Linked DNA regions of Coturnix japonica. The protein of the gene in region 1 interacts with the protein of each later gene in a pairwise test. Links are inferred from orthologs where the notes say so. Each region holds a gene or a part of one and is shown in the gene's direction. Other genes may lie near its edges.

Evidence for each region.
Region 2: the proteins of UBE2E3 (region 1) and RNF111 interact in a two-hybrid assay, tested with the Homo sapiens proteins (2 studies listed by BioGRID and IntAct). The link is inferred for Coturnix japonica from reciprocal best matches to the Homo sapiens genes UBE2E3 and RNF111.
Region 3: the proteins of UBE2E3 (region 1) and MUL1 interact in a two-hybrid assay, tested with the Homo sapiens proteins (2 studies listed by BioGRID and IntAct). The link is inferred for Coturnix japonica from reciprocal best matches to the Homo sapiens genes UBE2E3 and MUL1.

The regions. Positions count from the first base shown.
Region 1 is NC_029522.1:12,887,849-12,894,040, reverse strand, and holds the start of UBE2E3 (ubiquitin-conjugating enzyme E2 E3), read left to right. Parts: upstream 1-2,602; 5' UTR 2,603-2,775; intron 2,776-3,891; 5' UTR 3,892-3,900; coding exon 3,901-4,094; intron 4,095-6,192. UniProt on the Homo sapiens protein: Accepts ubiquitin from the E1 complex and catalyzes its covalent attachment to other proteins. In vitro catalyzes 'Lys-11'- and 'Lys-48'-, as well as 'Lys-63'-linked polyubiquitination.
Region 2 is NC_029525.1:5,871,638-5,877,699, reverse strand, and holds the start of RNF111 (E3 ubiquitin-protein ligase Arkadia), read left to right. Parts: upstream 1-2,339; 5' UTR 2,340-2,451; coding exon 2,452-2,456; intron 2,457-6,062. Other genes in the region: SLTM (SAFB-like transcription modulator), read right to left, coding at 1,233-1,320, 1,913-2,116. UniProt on the Homo sapiens protein: E3 ubiquitin-protein ligase. Required for mesoderm patterning during embryonic development. Acts as an enhancer of the transcriptional responses of the SMAD2/SMAD3 effectors, which are activated downstream of BMP.
Region 3 is NC_029536.1:4,255,675-4,261,685, reverse strand, and holds MUL1 (mitochondrial ubiquitin ligase activator of NFKB 1), read left to right. Parts: upstream 1-2,615; 5' UTR 2,616-2,661; coding exon 2,662-2,790; intron 2,791-2,918; coding exon 2,919-3,006; intron 3,007-3,860; coding exon 3,861-3,981; intron 3,982-4,520; coding exon 4,521-5,250; 3' UTR 5,251-5,737; downstream 5,738-6,011. Other genes in the region: protein FAM43B, read left to right, coding at 530-1,408. UniProt on the Homo sapiens protein: Exhibits weak E3 ubiquitin-protein ligase activity. E3 ubiquitin ligases accept ubiquitin from an E2 ubiquitin-conjugating enzyme in the form of a thioester and then directly transfer the ubiquitin to targeted substrates.

The DNA.
Region 1 (6,192 bases):
AAAGAAGATGAAGTATATGACTGTAAACATTAAGTAGTATTTACAATTGATCTGCTCTTAATCACAAAAAATGTATGCCGGCTTTATTTTACCATCTGTACACCCTTAAAATGGTAGGGGCAAGGAGATCAAGCAATGATTTTCTCATCCCTCAGAGTTTACTTGTGAGAAGTGGAAAATGCCTTTACCCTAGTTCTGGTGCCAGGCATTGAGTTGTTTGCTATCACAGCATTTTGCATCCAATAGAGGAGACTGAAATGTGAATTCTTCCTAAATGCAGTAAAATATTTTCAGATGCCTGTACAGCCCAAAGCAGATGTTAAACCTCTGCACGCTGACAGCAACTTCACACCTGTGCTCTGATAGAATAGGGATCAGGACGTATCTAAGCGATACTGGGCTTCTTAAGGAACCACCAATGCTTGTGCTGGGGAAAAACAAACAAACAAAAAAAAAAAAACTAAAGGGCATCTGAGGGGAAGAAAAAATGAAAGCTTCACACATTTCTAAGTGCCCAGGACCATCTAGACAAGTCTGAAAGTAGGAAGGGTTAGGAAAGCTCAGGAGGGCTCTGCACTTCACCCTACTAGTTGAACTTTCACAGTTTAAGTACTCAATAAACTGACAGAAAAACAAAAACAGATAGATGTATCGGTTAAAATTACACCAGTGTAAAATCACAAGGAGCACAAAAAGTCACAGAGATCATGGGATGGAGCTTTATTCCTATAGCTATTGAAATCAGCACTTTCTCTGCTTCCAACTGCATTACTTTTTCTACAGTTGACAAGATAACAAACCCCCTAGGAGAATACAGCCCTGTAAGAGGAAAGTATCATGCTTTGAGCCTTGATGTCAAACAAATGCATATTCATTCAGATAAACACCTGTTGTATCCATAAGTTCCTGTAGTAGAACAGTTTTAATTAGGTACAAAAGACTGGAGAGAAAAAAATAAATAATGAAATCCAGGCTGGCTTTCAATTAGCCTCTGTTAAACAGGCTTTATTTTCATTTTTTCTCCTAAAAGCCACAGAAGCCACAACATGTAACAGCTGATGTGGCCAGCAGCCCTTGACCAGCCTACTTACATTCATTCTGTAGATGCTTTATTTATTTTTCTTTTTTGACAGCTGCATTGATTATCACCAGAAACAAAATAAACACTTAGTCCTGACCCTCAAAGTGCCAGCCAGCCCCATTTTGAGCATCAATAGGGAAAAGAAATGGTTTTACTGCTGACTGATAGATTTTTGATATTGCCACACTTCCCTTTTACTAATTATGCCCAGATTGCTCATCATGCCAGATACTGTTTATGCAAAGAATTTTCTACAGCATACCTCAGGGGCAAATCGCTTGTAGTGGTGATCTGGGAATTCTCTATAGCCCACTTTAACAAACAAACCTCCGGTATTCCTCCCCACCATTTCACTCAGCTCACCCACGGAACCTTCAGCATACTGTTCAGCTGAGCTAATTCCAGCTACCCAGAGAACAGAACCCCCTGACGCACCGTTCAGCTCCTACAGAACGCAACCTGTGGCCTCTCGATCCTGCTAAACTTAAGCAGAGAGGCTTGAAGCCCTTGGACTATTGGCAAGGAAAGCCCTCGAGGTGCACAGTGCTGAGGTGAAGCCCAGCTGCTGGACAGCGGTTTTGCGTCCATTTCTATAACAGAACTCAAACCGCATTGCTCATTTCCCCTCTGCTGGACCCTGTAATCTGCAGCACAGGTACTTATCACAAATAGTTAACGCTTCTTTTACAGGTGGGTTTTATTGCTCCAGGATCACTTTGGAATATTCACATTACTCTAATTGGTGGATGGCTCTTACTGCACACTGACCACAGCTCCTCAGGTGCGGCTGTGATGGGCCTGGGAAGAAATTCAACCACCATCCTACACAGCCACTGATACAGACTACCCCCTTCCCTCTGTGATAACAGTCAGAACTCGGCACGTAGATGCATACGGTGCAACTCCTAATTGTGTTTCTAATTTGGAATAAACCACCATGACCGCACACAGTGCCGGCCATCACTTGGACGCGTGGATCGAGGAGCGGGGCACGAGGCGGCTGTAACACCGCTGTCAGACCCCGCGGGCGGCGGAGCTGCAGCCGGGACGGCCGGCGGAGGGCACCGAAGTGCTGATGATTCTGGCGGTGCCCACACTCAGGAGCTGTGCAGGATCGCGCCGTGCCCCGCCGCGCACAGCAGCCGTCGAGGTCCACCCGCGCGCCGCCGCTTTGTCCTTGCCCGGCCCGGAGCACGCGCGCCCTCGGCCGCGGCGGGAGAGCGCCTGCGCGCACCCCAGCCCGGAGGGGGGCGCGCTCTGCTGGCCGCCAGGCGGGAGCGAGCGCCCCCTCTGCTCTCCCGTCCCCTCCCCCGCTGTCGGCTGCAGCCCGGCACAGCGGCGGCGGCCGGGGGCGGCCGGTCTCCCCCCCCCTCTCCCCAACCCCGGACCTTCTCCCCCGCCCCCGGCGGCGCGCGCCCGCCGCCCCCCGCCCCGGCCCCCCGGCCCGCCGCGGGAGCCCGCGCCGCAGAGCGGGGCCCGCCAGCGCCACCCGCCGGCCGCGGGGCCGCACCGCGCCTCCCCCCGTCCCCCCCTGCTCCGGCTCTCAATGTTCCACACCGCCCGGCCACAGAGCCGCCGCCGCCGCCGTAGAGCCCCCCGGCCGTCTCCGTCCCCTCCTCGGGCGCCGCGGGCCCGGCCCGGCCCCCCGCCATCCCGCCCCTCCGACCCAGCAGCGGGACAGGACGCCGGCGAAGGTAAGCGAGAGGCGGGCGAGGCGGCTGCGGCGGCGGCGGCGGCGGCGGCTGGGCGAGCGCGGTGGGGGGAGGCGGGGAGGAGCGGGGGGGCCGCCGAGGAGCTTTGTTCTTGTTTTCGGCGCTCGCTGCCTGCCGGCGGCCGGGGGCGCGGGGCCGGCCGAGTTCACGCCTCACTTGGTGCACACACACGCGCGGCGCCGAGCGGGGCCGAGCCGAGTGGAGCGGGGCCGGCCGAGCCGAGCCGCCGCCTGCCGCGCCGCGCCGGGCTCACCCCACAAAGCGCGGCCGCCCCCGGCCCCACCGCGGCTCCCGGCCACCGGGCAGCCCCCTCCCCCCGCCGCCACCATGTCGGAGCGGGGCGGGGGGGCGAGAGGGCGACGCGGAAGGTGCGGGCGGCTGCGGGCTGCCTCCCCCCCGGCGGCCCTGCGGGGGCCCAATGCGGATCTGCCGGCGGGCAGTGGGGCTGCCGCTTCCCGAGTTGCTCCCGACGCATCTTCTGCGGGTTCCGCGGGGGTTTTCCTTTAAAAACAAACAACCCGCGTTCTCCCTCCCCCCCCCACCTCCCCCCCCCCCCCCCCCCCCCCCGCCCAGCCCTTTAAATGCACAGAGCAAGTGTATGCTTCGGTCTGATAGCAGCCCGAGTCTCATTGGCAATGGAGCTCCTCCGAGAGAGGGGTTGAGGGGGGATCAGGCGTTTGGACCCAATAAAACGCTCCGTTCCAGTGTAAATATTTACAGGGTATCGGTGACTCCTTAAAAAACATTCCCAGGGAGGTCTGTTATTTACAATGTGTCATAAGTTATTAATGTGCGTTTCCTAAGTGCCCTGCTCAATCTGTCTGTGCCTCAGAACCAAGCCGACAATTGGCATATTGTTTGAAGCATGACAAAAATGCGAGTGGGTTTAAAAATGGGAAATGCCGGTGTTTTCCGAAGTGTAAATGTTGTGGTGTGGCTGTCAAGTTGCAGCCCTGGCGGATGAGACAAAGAAGAGGATCCTGGTGGGTTTCTCCATGAAATAGAGTTATCGACAACCAAAGTGTTCTTCAGAGCTCAGGACGGCGAGGGGTGACCTGCGTGCTGTAGTAACTGCCTCTTCTCCTCCTTCCCCACAAGTTCCCCACGATGTCCAGTGACAGGCAGAGGTCAGATGATGAGAGCCCCAGTACCAGCAGCGGCAGCTCAGATGCTGACCAGAGGGACCCCCCGGCACCTGAACCTGAGGAGCAGGAGGAAAGGAAACCCTCTGCCACCCAACAGAAGAAGAACACCAAACTCTCCAGCAAAACTACTGCTAAGCTATCTACTAGTGCTAAAAGGTACTTGTGGCATCCAGCGTCCTGTAGCGGTTTTGCACGGTGTGTGGACTCGCAGTGTTGCACTGCACTTCCCAAGGCAGAGGGATTGCTTTAAAGCCACGTGGGAAATAGCACAGTACAAAATTCTGTAGCATGCTGGTCTGCTGGGAAGGACCTTCACCAGTCCAAATCCTCTGGGGCACTAATACGCGGGCTGGCCGTGTTTCTTTGGAGTTGTTGGAAAACTTGCTAACTCTCAGGCTGGTCATGGGGCACCTGTGTGCCTCTCATATTTGTTAAAATGAGTGAGAAAGCATAAGCTTCAGGTGTCTGGTTTGCAGAGACAGGTTTACATACCTTGTTGGTATAGGGTGGATCTTTCTGGTGTATTTCAGTGCAGGCTGCAGTGCAATGACAGTACTCTTTAATTACAGAAGTCACAAAAGCCTCGTGGATTCTGAAGGCCTTATGATTGCAGTAGAGCCCTGTGCACCTTAAAGTCACTGTTCTGTCCTGCAGTGCTTTCTGGAGAAAGTCAGGCAAATGGTCTCTTGTGGGATCCATGGATTCCAACCATAGGGTTCTTCAAGTGTAGCCTCTAAGTATCAGAATCTCAGGAAACCTTGTCTAGTTTTATCTGCTGCGTTTTTGTTTACACACAAGGTTACTGGCAGTCCAGCTCTCAAGACATGCGTGCTAATTATTTTCTGTAAGTTCAGCTGTGTGAAATAAAGCAAACTTTAATTCCCTCAATCCCAGTTGTCTTCTGAGATGAAACACAACTTTCAGTCTTTTCCCTGGAGTTCCCTTTCTTTACAAACATTTACAAATACACTGTGCGAAAGCCACATTAGCCTCGAGTTTTGCTTATCCAGCCCAAATACAGTAGCTCAGACTTTGAGGAACGTTGTAGTAACTTTGCACTGTACTTAAACTCAGTAAATACATTTTGCAGTGTCTCAGAATTATTGCAGAATGTGACTGGGTGACTGATGACTTCTGAGTTTGTTAAAGAAACCCTTTGGAATAGGACTTGGCTGCAGAAGGAAAAGTTCTGGAAACAGTGTAGACTTTGTAATTTATTGTTAGGCTTTGTGTTCTTTTTAGTGCCTGAGGTACATCATGTAGAGGCTCACAGCTGAGTTTTCTCCTCTTACCTTTGTTTTGGTTAATCCAGTAGTTCAGTAGCATGGTTGGGCTTAATAGAAATGGTGCATGGGCTTTTGGGGCAGTCCCTGTCAGCTCATGTTCTACACTTGCTATGCACATAAAAAAGCAGTCTTGCTCGCGTGGGTTTTGTTGTGCAGTTTTGTTTGTTTGTTTGATTTGACATTTAAAAGAGGAAATTGCCTTGAATCTTTAAAAGTTACACCTCCTATATATATATATATATATATGAATAAATAATAAGGTTTACCCAAAATTTTGAGTGTTGCTTTCTGGACTGTAACATCTTGGGAGTGGTTGTTACAATGTCAAGCTAAACACAGATTATTTCAGGTTATTATGTTGCTTTTTATCATGTAAATACGGCTCCTGTAAGGCTGGGGGAGGAAAGGCAGCAGAAGGTGTGGAGAAGAGCAAAGTTGATGCAGAGATGATTCCAGTGTCAGAAGCAGCCAGGCAGATCTGCAGACCTACTTTTTAAACACCCTGCAAAGCAGGAGGTAGAATATTGCCAAAAGAATACATTTGCTGACAGCACGGCTCGCTTCTTCAGCCTCGATCACAGTTCTGTAGTGCTGGTTTAAAGTCATTGTCAAATGTGCTTGTACGGCCCCCCCTCCCCCCGGCTCATTTGCATATTAGCTTGAAAAGAAAATCTCTCTGGCAAAATGTGCTCAGATCTGAAAAAGAGTTACTGTTCCGAGTACTTGTGGGAGATTCCTACCGAACTCGGCTGTGAGCGTTCTGTTTATACACAGGATCGAGCAGGAAAAAAGCTGCAAAGTTTCTCAGCTGTGGGATTTGGGTTATACCTCTGAGAACAAAGAGGAAGCAGCCATGTTAGCATTACTGAAGGCAAAGCCAATCTTGCATTTAACTGCATGGTGGTAGAGGGCAGTGTAATTCCCTGATTTATTCTATAGACTATCTCAAATGCTTTGTGTCTGTTCTC
Region 2 (6,062 bases), on another chromosome or scaffold:
TACCATCCTCAAAGTAAGGAATTAAGTAATGCCACAGAAGAGAATGAAACCATATTCTCAGCTTATTTGCCTTCACTTTTGCAGTGTGCCAGAAGCACAGCTGGGATGTCACTCTAAATCTCTAACAGAGACATTTTATTATTAAACTGCCCTCTCACAGCACCAGACAGAAACAAGAATAACCATTTCCACCCCAAAACCCAGCCTAGGACAAGTGACAGTAGTATGAGATCAACCATTTCCAAAGCAGCTGTCTATGAACGTTGTTAGCATATATATTCAACGAGGAACACTATGTGTAAAACAGACACTTCCTTCCCCAGTATTACTTGACAGGTTACAGACAACCCCAGAACCAGAAAACAAGAGACTCTCCCCCAAAACTCAAGCTCACAAATACAAATAGTTACGTGTAAATAAACAGTGCCAACAAAATCTCTGCCCAATATATCAGCTTCTAATCTAGATAATTATTTTTCACAACAAAAGTACAAAAGTCCCTTAAGATGACATTTTAAAATCACACTGTGCATTCTGATTATATTGAGGAATCTCTCAATTATAAACCTTCTCTTCAGCAACAATCGTGTTGATAATCACAGCAGACAGAACTCTCCAGGCTCTGACCCTTACCACATACTGCTCCACACTCACCACTAACGTGGGCCAGGTACCTTCTAACAGCTGAGTAACCTGCCAGCTCAGCCCTTGCCATGGGATGGGCTCTCAGCCACTACACTGACACCCACCATGAACACTCCATGCTCAGGATCCCATTATATGGCACATCCCAAGAAATCTCACAGAACGTCTACAACGTTCCTGAGCATGGCACAAGCCTCCAGGACCCAAAGACTGTACAGCCACCACCTTATGACACATCACCTGACCAACACATCCCATATATACCCAGCACATGGGTACTTTGCAAGGCCTAATGCATTCCACACCCTCAGTGATAAGCAGATATGTGACACAGGGAGACAGACAGAGCATGCTGCAGGAAAGGGAAGCAAGCCGGTACAACAGGTGGTGATGGGGGGAATAGAGATGATGAGAGAAACAGCATGACTGGAAGCCAGTACGGAAGACTTAGTGCTTTATGAACAGAACTCACAAACAGTAAAGGACAGGCACAACCGGGGGCACAGCTCATTACTTCTTTCTTAAGGTGATGCATGCAACAAAAACGTGTTTCAGTCTATAATGTGTATCAACAGGTATTCGTTCACCTTTGCCTTTAGCTGGCTTCTTGGTGGGTGTGTCAGCCGAGACAGTTATTTCAATGTTATCCGGATCACCTCCCTCCTCTTCAATAGCCTGAACGGGACACAGAACGACAGTTTTTAGTGGAGTTCAATTGGAAGCAATAAGTTGTCACTTCAGGACGTTGACGAGCCAAGTTATTAGATTTTCAACTACACAATATCTTATGAAACACTTCAGGTTAAACCTCCCACCGAAAGCTGGGGGAGAGGGAGGAAAGCCTGACGATAGCGACAGCGGTTTGTTGAAGCCGTTCTCGTGACATTCCGAAGGACAACTTAGCGAGCAGCGGTACGTTTCCCTCAGGGATCGCTACGCCGCAATGACACCAAGGGGCAGAGCGGGCAGCAGGCAGCGAGCTGCAGCGCCCCGGGTCCCGGCAGGGCCTCAAGGCCGCGGGCCGAGCCCCGCCTGACGCCTCCACTCCCCGCGGCCGGGCAGGGCGTGCCGCCGCAGCACGGGCAGGGCCGGGCCGGGCCGGGCGACCCTCAGCCCTACGGCAGCAGCGGCACGAGGAGCGGGCCCGCCCCCCTCACCGGGACCGACACCGGGACCGACACCGACAGGGCCCCGCCCCCCTCACGGCGCTGCCCCCGATCCCGATCCCGGGCCGCGCCGCTCAGCCGGGCCCGCGCGGAGCTCTCACCTGCTTGAGCCGGGAGATGAGCACGGTCTTCACGCCGGTGACGTCCAGGTTGCGCCGCTTCAGCTCCGACTTGAGGTCGATGACCCGCAGGTCGCTGATCTTCTTGCTCTCGGTGGGAGGCGGCGCCGCGGCCGCCGAAGCGTTGGGCGCCCCGGGAGCCCCCGCGGCGGCAGGAGACGAGGCGGCGGCGGCGGCGGCGGCCATCTTAGAGCGACTGAGCGCGGCAGCCGCGCGCACAATGAAACCCCCCCGCCCTGCCGGGGCCGCGCGGTACCCGGATGGAGGCCGCGGCCGACCTGAGGAGCGGCGCAGGCGCAGTGCGGCTCACCTGCGCTCCGGACCTCCCCGCGAGAGGTTGGCGGCGGGCGGGTCGGGCGGGCGGGGGTGAGTGAATGAGTGAGGGAGGGAGTGAGTGCGGCGGGGAGTGAGTGAGTGAGTGCCGCGGTGCGGCCCCGCCCAGCGGGACGGGACGGGACGGGACGGGACGGCGCTGGGCTCCGGCCGGGCTCTCGCTTCTTCAGGGAGCGGCGCTGGGAGCCATGAGGTGCCCCGGGGCGGCGCGGGCTGGGCCAGGCCTTGCGGGAGGCGCAGGGCGGGGCCGGGCCGGCGGGGAGGGCGTCCGCAGCCGGGAGCCGGGCGGTGCGTCCCGCCGGGCCCCGCCGAGCGCTTCGGATCCTCGGCCTCGCGCGGGTGCGGGCCCGGCCCGGAGGAGGTGACGGTGCGGCGGCTGCGGGCGTTTGTCGGTACGAGCTCGCGGTCACGGGCCGCCGTACCGGGGCCGCAGCTCGTCCGCCCGCTCGTAGCGCCGCGTCGGCCCCGAGCGGAACAAAAGCGGAGCCGTTACCGCCGTGTGCTGCCGGCGGGGCCCGTCGCTGGGCCGGGCCGGAGCTCCGCGTGTCCCGGCCTGTGGGGCTGTGGGAGCCGTGCGAGGCGCGCTCCGGTTGCGAGCCGTCGCTCGGGGTGAATTGAATCCTCTAACCTTGAAACCGCTCCGTCGCAGCGATGCGCTGTGCTGCCTTCGTTCAGCGATGTGCACTGATCGAACTGCAGGGATGTGCGCGTTTCACTTAATAAATCTCTTACACGCTTTTTTTTTTTTGGTGTAAGTTAAGCCCGGAATCCGACGGAGTGGTTGGGAACAGCTTCCTCTCCTGTTTCCAGAGCCTCCATACATAATCCTTTACCTCAGTCGTTAGCGTTTAACAAAGGCTGACACCCATCCATTCAGAAGTTAAGCGTGTGCCTGAAACGGAATTTGTACTGATGACACACTGGAACAGGTTGCCCAAGGGGGCTGTGGGTGTCCCATTCCTGCAGGCACTCAAGGCCGGGCTGGATGTGGCTCTGGGCAGCCTGGGCTGCTGGTTGGTGACCCTGCACACAGCAGGGGGTTGAAACTCGGTGATCATTGTGGTCCTTTTCAACCCAGGCCATTCTACGATTCTATGAGTGTGGGAGGATTTTAAATGTCTCTTCGGCATGGTGAAGATTTAGTGAAAAGAGCAGTCTGAAGTGGGAGTGCTGTGTGTGTTCTTGCTCATGCTGTTCCCTGTGACAACACTTGCGCTAACATCTGATTTATCAGAAATGGCTGAGGTTAACTGATGGACTCCTTAGATTTACTTTAGACCACAGAAACAGATTTTGTGGGTGTTGGTGTAACTTTCAAACAGAACGTGGCTAAGTCCAGCTTTTGTTTCAGTTCTACTTTGAGTTCAGCGATCTACCAGAATATCAGGCAGGACTGCCAGCTCCCTGCAGCAGCGTTGTATCAGGAGGGACAGACTGCACTGTTCTGTTCTCAGTCCTGGGAATGACCAGTGGGTTAACACCTGCAGTGCTCACCTGCTTTCAGAGCAGTATCTGCTCACCTCAACCACTACATTTGTTGGTTGATGTCACGTAGATGTGGAAGCTGTTGATCTAAAAAGCCAACAGTGACCTTAAAACTAATACCTAGTCTCCATTATCCTGCCTCGAGGCGTGGTACGCCATTAGGAAAACAGCCTTGACTGATGTTCGTCTGACCTGTTCCTAAAGCCTTAACTAGGGATGCCACTCATTCCTCGTCTAGTCTAGCCCTTAACTATCCTTTTTCAGATGCCTCCTAAATCCCTTTTGCTGCAGTTCTTACTCTGACTCTAAAGGACAGAATTCCTTTTTCCTTTGCAGCATTTTTATGTGAAGACTACTAGCACATTTTGTTTGCTCCTTTATTTTTGGGGTATAAATCCAGATCATTTTCTTTTCCTTGATCCGAGTTCCAGAACAGATGACCTTTTTCTGTTGCACCTCTCCAGCATTTGTGCTGCACTTCCATCAAGTTGCCTTAGTGCCAGCACTTCCAATGCTGCATCTGGGAGCTGTGTGCCTTTTCCAGCTTCACGAAGGTGTTATCGTATGCAGTTTGTGATCCACTCTACATGTTGGTTTCTTTCCTGAACGTTTCCTATGGTAACTGATTCTCTGCACCTGATTTCTTTGCACTTCTGTTCATTACATGTATACATTTTCGGAGTGATTTCTGCCTTCATCGTTGACTTTTGCTCCATGTGTAGTACCTCTAACCATGGTGTTAGGTGCAGGTTTATACTTGCAGTCTAAGCTGTTATGCAGAGGTATGAGGGCCTTTACAGGACATAAACTGCAGGTTTGATGCTGAACTACTAGCGGCATTGCTCAGGGTACAAACAGTTTGGGACTGGGGTTATGTGGTTTCTATCCAGTTTCCTCTTTAAGTTTCCTCTTAAAGTTCCTATTAAAAGGAAGTTTCCTCATAAAAATGTTGATGGAACAGAATGTCGGAAGTCTCAATAAAGCTGGGATCTTCAGTTTATTCATATAACAAAACTGAAAATAAAGTTGGTTTGATCTGTCAATGAAAAATCATGTTGGTTGGCATCTTTCACATTAGTTTATAGGTATGCCTCATGATCAGATCTGTTTGGATTTGCTGAGGAATTTTAGTCTATATTGGCTGCTTTCTAACCTGGAGTTGGATGATTTGTTTGTTGTAAAGAAAAATACTCTTTGTCCTTTTACAGTCTCTTGAAACACGTACTGATGTTCAAAGAGAAGGCTGCTATGTACAGTTAGGCTCTGAAGTTTATGGTTAAGTTTGGTTAGGAGACAGTGGTATCTGTTCAAAGAGGAGAAATGTTTGGTGCACATGTTGGTTTTTAAATGGCAACAATGATAAAACTCCCAACCTTTGCTCCTGTGATGTATTTTTGTCTGTCTTATATGTGAGACACCTAAGATGTCCTTAGATGTTTTCAATGTGTTTTCATGGGCTTTGTAGTTCTGCATGGAACGTGATCTCAGTTCCAGCAGCACTGACTGATCAGTTCCTTACCTCAGTCTGAAGCAGAGGACCAAATGCCAGCATGCCCTGTGCAGATCTAATAAGTGGCCTCTAAAAACAGCCTTACTCCATGTTTTAAGACATAGAGAAGTAGTTCCTGCCGCTCTCTCGTTCATTTCCTTCCTTAAGGCAGCCTCACAGGCAGAGCACTCACCTGGAGCTGAGCACTGTGCCCAGTTCTCTCCTCTTCTCACATCTGTGGTTTGTCCAGACACATTTTAGAAAAGATGTTGGTTGAAGAAAAGGTGGAGAGGGTAGATACGGTGTAACAACTGTTCGTCTCAAAGCCCATCTTGTTACCAGAGGTTTCATTCCAGCTTCAGGCTTTTGTTTGTTTGCTTCAGAAAGCTGAGGTTCTAATGCAGTATTTTGCATTCTGTGTTTGTTGCTACCTTCATCAAAGCTGGTTATTTCAGCAGTAAATGATGCAGTGACTCAGTTCCTTTCTGGATGCAACTTTTTTTGAGCTATGTGAATTAATTGAAATCAACAGGAAGAGTCCATTTTACTTTGAAAGGCACCACTGCCGGGTTCCTGTGTTACATTGCTTAGTTACTACAGCTTCAAACTCTGCTTTGTAGTAATTGTGATGTCAGTCTGATTGTATTCAAACCTCTGACCAAGCTTATGCCTAACAATTGTCAGCTGCACTATTTCTGTCTAATGGGAGGGGAAGGCAGGAAGGAATGATACCACTGGAGGTATTTTCAGTGGATACCTGACAGTAGGTACGTTTGAAATGAATGTTCACTGCTAATTTAATACACATAATTGCTAGAAAAACAG
Region 3 (6,011 bases), on another chromosome or scaffold:
AACCCAAAGGGATCTCCCCAAAATCAAAAGCAGAATCACCCCAAAATCCAAAGTGATCTCCCCAAAATCCAAGGGGGAACCATCCCAAAACCCAAAGGGGGCAGCATCCCAAAATCCAAGGGGGAACCATCCCAAAACCCAAAGGGATCTCCCCAAAATCCAAGGGAGAATCACCCCCAAAACCCAAAGGGATCTCCCCAAACCCATTATCAGCAGGGGTTGCATGGCTAAACGTCGTTATCGCTCTTTGGGCTCTGCACTCCGCAGGGGCAGCTCTTTCTCCCCGTAGCGGAGCAGCCTCATCTCCCTCCGGCAGCAGCAGCGCAGCAGCATCTCTCCGTGTGCGCCGATGCATTTCTCCCTCCTCTCCACGCTTTGGGGAGGTGGAGCAGCGCTCCGTTCTGCAGCAGCAGCAGCAGCAGCAGCAGCGTTGCATCCTCACCCAACGCATCCCGCTGGGGACCGACCCTTGGGAACGGGATACGGGGACCGACCCCTTGGGTCAGGATCGGGATCCGGCAGCGAGGTGATGCTGCCCTGGCGCCGCAGCAAGTTCGTGCTGGTGGAAAACGAGCGTAAGTGCAAAGGGAAAAGCTTGGGGCCAGGGTTGGGCTATGCCTCATTGCTGGCTGGTTTCATACGCTCCTGCCCCGATTTATTGCCCGAATGCCCCTTGGAGAGGTTGGGTGCTGTGTTTGGAGGCCGGAGGCAGAAAGTGGAGCTGAACAAGGAGGATCCCACCTACACCGTGCGCTACCTGGGTAACGCCGTCACGCTGCACGCCAAAGGAGAGGGATGCACGGAGGAGGCGGTGGGCAAAATATGGGCCAAAAGCGACGCGGGAGCCGGTGGGGCCAAAATGAAGCTGACCTTAGGGCCGCATGGCATCCGTATGGCACCGGGTGAGAAGGGTGCCCGGAGGTCAGGCCACGCTTACCTGCTGCACCGCATCACCTACTGCACAGCTGACCGCCGGCACCCCAAGGTGTTTGCTTGGGTTTACCGGCACCAGGTGAAGAACAAAGCCGTGGTGCTACGCTGTCACGCCGTCCTCGTCCCCAAAGCCGCCACCGCGCGCGCCATGGCCCTGCTCCTCTTCCAGACCTCCGCTTCAGCCTTCGATGAATTCAAGAGGCTCAAAAGGCAGAACGACGGCCGGCGCCTCCAGCAGCAGCTCCTGGGTGAAGCCATCGTCCCCTTGGTGCCCCTTCGTAGGCTGCTCAATGCCAAGTGTCCCTACCGCCCGCCGGCTGAACGCGCCCGCTGCGCCCCACGGCTCAGCTCCATCCTGGAGGAGGACGAGGAGGAGACGGGGGGCACGTGGGGGGACGGGGGTCCCACCGTGGTCTCTTTGGCCAGTGAGATGCGGGGGTGCAGCTTGCGTGGCCCAAGGGCCCCCATATGCTGAGCATTCATCCACTGCTTTGGCCATACCGGGTGCACTCGGGACACAGCTGGACTATAGGGCTACGTCCCTTTGCTCTTAAAGGGGGGGATGCAGCTGGATCCCCCCATCCCTCTCCTGGAAATAAACCCAATGTGTGTTTTTTGCCTGTGACAGCACCTGTCTCTCGCCAGCCTGGAAGACTCGCGATGGTTTGTTGCTTTTCTGTTCTGTATTTACCCATTTTTTGCACTTCTCGGGGTAAAATATCCACCCCACAGTGGGGGGGGGAGGGAGGGGAGAGGGGTTTCTGCACCTTCCATGCCATTCTACGTGGTGTGATGCTCATGTTGCCATGGCAATGGTGGGGTTTAAATAGAGCAGGCCCACGCTTTGGGTTGGGGGGGGAGGCTGCAATGTGGATCCCAGGCCTGAAACTGGGGGGAAAATACAGCCCAGAGAACCTAAATCAGTGGAGTTTTACACAAAAATGTTTTTTTTTTCACCCAGTTCCTGCTCTATCTGCCTTGACAGGAGCAGCAATGAGGGGGGCACGGTGGAAGGAGCTGAATAAGTGGGGTGGTGGGAGGGGGAACAAGGGGCACTGCTGCCCCATAGACTGAGGAAGGGGATGCACCAGTGGGATGGGGTTTGTGTGAGCTCCCCCCACATACAGCAGCCAAGGAGGGGGTGGGCTGTGGTCCTGATTCCCTCTGAGCTTTGGGGGCTGCCCCCACACTCTGTGGGCTCTATAGAGCTCTATGGGACTGTGGTTTGAGATAACTGGCCCCCGAAAGCACTATGGGGCCAAGATTTGGGCTAACACCCCTATAAATAAACCTATGCAGGGTTATATCTGAGATATAACCAGCATCCTGGGGTGAAAGACTGGGATTTGGGTTAAACATCCTCTGAAAGCCCTTTAAGGCTGAGATATAGGCCAACCCCACACAAAAGGTCCTATAGGGCTGGGATTTAGCTTATCCACCTCCAAAATCCTTGGGGTGAGAGTATGGGATTTAGGCTAAATCCACCCCAAAGGCCCAATGGGTGTGGGATATGGGCTATCCTGCCCTAAAATCTTGCGGTAAAAGGTTGGGATTTGAATTATACCCACCCCAAAGGCCCTATAGGGTTTGGCGGGGCTGTATTGGGGGGCTCTACCAGGAAACCTTACAGCCATAACTCGGAGGACCGCACACTCTATGGTAACGGAGTTGCTTCCAGAGCGCCGCTCGCTTGACGTCATCACTCAGCGCCGCTCGGTTGCCTCGGTAATGGAGGAGATGGAAGGAAGCGGGCGGCCTTCGGCCTTGCAGGCCGCGCTGTTGGCGGCCGGTACGGGGCTGACAGCGCTGCTTTACTCGGTGTACCGGCAGCAGACCCGGCTCTCCCGAGGCCTACAGGTGGGTACGGGTGCTCCTGGACCGGGATGCGGGCTGCTAAAGGCCGTAATGGCTGCTTCGGGCCTAGGCCGCGGCCTAGTCCTGAGCCTGGGCCTAGTGGTTGATCCTCGGCTCCTTATGTCCCATAGGGAGCCCGGAGGCTGCGGTTGGACGGGGAGCTGCGGGCCGTGCTGCTGGAGGCACCAGGCCGCTGTGTGCCTTATGCTGTCATTGAAGGTATTGGTATAGCTAAAGGCTGGGTCTCTTTCCACATCTCCCCTTTGGCTCAAAGGGTTTTGCCCTAAAATCTGCTTTCTTGCACCAGAAATGGGGTAGCACTGCCCTGTAGTGCAGGCTCCTCCTTCACAGACACACACCCAGGGAAGGGGATGGGCTGTGATTCCTTCCAAATGAAAGGGGGAAAACTCCAGCCCTAATAGAAGGCTCTGGGGTATGGGATAGGGTTAGTTCCTTCCGTATGCAATGCAGGTTGGGGTTTGGGCTGGCATCCCTATGGAGCTTAAATATAGCCTGATTCCTGCAAAACTATGGGGTGAAAGGCTGGGGTTTGGGCTGAATGTACCCCAAAGGTCGTGTAGGGATTGATCCCTTCATAAAGGTACTACAGGGCTGGAATTTAGCCTGTCCCCTTCCAGAATCCTTGGGGATGGGATTATGGAATTTAGGCTAAACCCACCCCAGAGGCCCAGAGTTAATCTGGTCCCCAAAATGCCCCAACGAGGCCGGCATTTGAGCTACTTCCCCACCAAAAAAACGCCCCGTGAAGGTGGTATTTGGGCTATTTCTCTCCCCCAAAAACGTGCAGTGGGGGCTGAGATTTGAGCTAAGACCTCCACCACCTCCACAAGACACATTTGGGCTGGGATTTAACCTGTCCCCATCCAAAATCATGGGAGTGAAAGACTAGAACTTGAGTTAAACGTATCCCAGAGCCCTGTGGGGCTGAGTTCTGGGCCTGTACCTCCCTCCCCTTAAAAAATAAAGCACTTTGGGGCTGGAATTTGAGCTAATCTTCCCCCATGACAATAAAAGAGACTTGACCCACAACTCAACCACTCCACGTGTTCCAGGTGTGGTACGTTCTGTCAGGGACACCCTGAGCAGCCAGTTTGTGGACAACTGCAAGGGCGTCGTGCAGAGGCTGACACTGCAGGAGCACAAGATGGTATGGAACCGAACGACCCACCTCTGGTACGTACCTATATAGAACCATAGGACATCCCAAGTTGGAAGGGACCCATAAGGACCTGAAATCAGAACCTTAAGCCTTAGAGCAATGTCTCAACACTCCTTGAGCTCTGGAAGTTCAGGGTTGTACCCTCCACCCCACACATATGGCAGCTGGAGGCCACCCCAAGCAGCCAAATGGAGCATCCCTGCACTGCACTGAGCAGCCTAATAAAGCAGAGAATGGGAAGCTTGATGGTATTGTGGAGTCATCGTGGCTGTGGAGGTGATGAGGATTTAGCTGCCCCTGAGCTCTTTGCCTTGTGACAGCAGCAGGTTTTGCATGGGGGGCACAGGCAGAGTGATAAATGTTGCTGTGTTGAAAGCTGTGGTGTTTCCCTGCTACCTGGCTTAGGTTGGAGGGAACCTTAAAGATTATCAAACTCAAGATTATATCAGCTTGGAGGCTACCTTAAAGATTATCAACCCATGCCATGGGGTTGGATCACCCAACCCAGCCTGGATTGCCAGCGTGAAAGCACTAATGCTTTCTTTATCCCCAGGAATGACTATGAGAAGATCATCCACCAGAGAACCAACACCACAGCTTTCGACTTGGCCCCATTGGAAGACAGCACCGGGGTTGCCGTGAGGGTGATGAAACCACTGGAGGCTGCTGAGCTCAGCCTAGAGACAGTGCATGAGAAGTTCCATCCCTCAGTGCAATCCTTCCCCGATGTCATCGGCCACTACATCAGCGGGGAGCGCCCCAAAGGCATTCAGGAAACAGAGCAGATGCTGAAGGTGGGAGCTGCACTGACTGGTGTCGGAGAGCTGGTGCTGGACAACAACACCATCAAGCTGCAGCCACCCAAGCAAGGTCTGCGTTACTACCTGACCAGCTCCGATTTCGATGCTTTGCTGAGGAAACAGGAATCGAACGCCAAGCTTTGGAAGATCCTGACCATCCTTTTTGGTTTTGCTACGTGTGCTGTTCTCTTTTTCCTCTTAAGGAAACAGTATCGTTACCACCGGGAGAGGCAGCACCTCAAACAGATGCAACAGGAATTCAGGCAAGCTCAGGAGCGGCTGATGCGTGAAGTGAGCACTGAGGGTGGAGAGACACTGAAAAATGCCTGTGTCATCTGCCTGAGCAACGCCAAATCCTGTGTCTTCCTGGAGTGTGGCCACGTCTGCTCCTGCACTGAGTGCTACCGAGCCCTCCCAGAGCCCAAAAGGTGCCCCATCTGCAGACAGGCCATCAGCAGGGTGGTTCCCTTGTACAATAGTTAAAGCGTTGCATCTCAAGGGGGTGTTTTATGGAGAGCTCCCTCTCTCTGAGGGTCCGCCTGCGTCCTGCCCTTCTTGCTGCTGGGTGTTGGATGGCTGGGGGTGGAATCTTGGACTGGGGAAGGGGGAGGGAGCTGAGGAATGATTGGAAATGATTGCAGGTGCTCAGGGCTGGAGTGGTGCTCCTGGGGACAAAATCAGCTTGTTTCTGTGATACCCTGGTGATTAAATACCCCTTCTGTTATGAGACATGAGGAGACCTGCGGGGTGGGAGCTGGGGGTCAGGAGAGCTTCTGCTGTTGTGATAAATGATGAACACATGCGTTTCCATCATCCCCTCCTGCCAGCACTACCCCAGGGCTGAGCTTTGGCCACTTGTGATTGTGTCACACCAGAATGTGATCATGGCGCCGTGGCAGAGCTCCGCTTGATTCCGCAGCAGGGTTTGGGTCGGGGTACGGCACAGGATGTAATAAAACCCTTTGAAAAAGCTCGTTTGTCCCGGTTCATTCCATCCCTGCAGCCCTGAGGGCGCTGCGCTGCCTTCCTCTCCTCCCTCTGCATTATGCGAGCTGTACGAAGCTCCATCCATCCCAGGTGGGGCCGGGCGTTCTCCCTTTCCTATCGGAGGAGCCTGAGGTTGGAGCAGGGTGCGGAATAACCCCGTAGGCAGAGCTTGAAGAGCCGCATCCAGCCGGGCTGCAGGTGGCGATGCGCTCCCGCTGCGGAATAAAAGGCAGAAATAACAAACATCCGCAGCGACG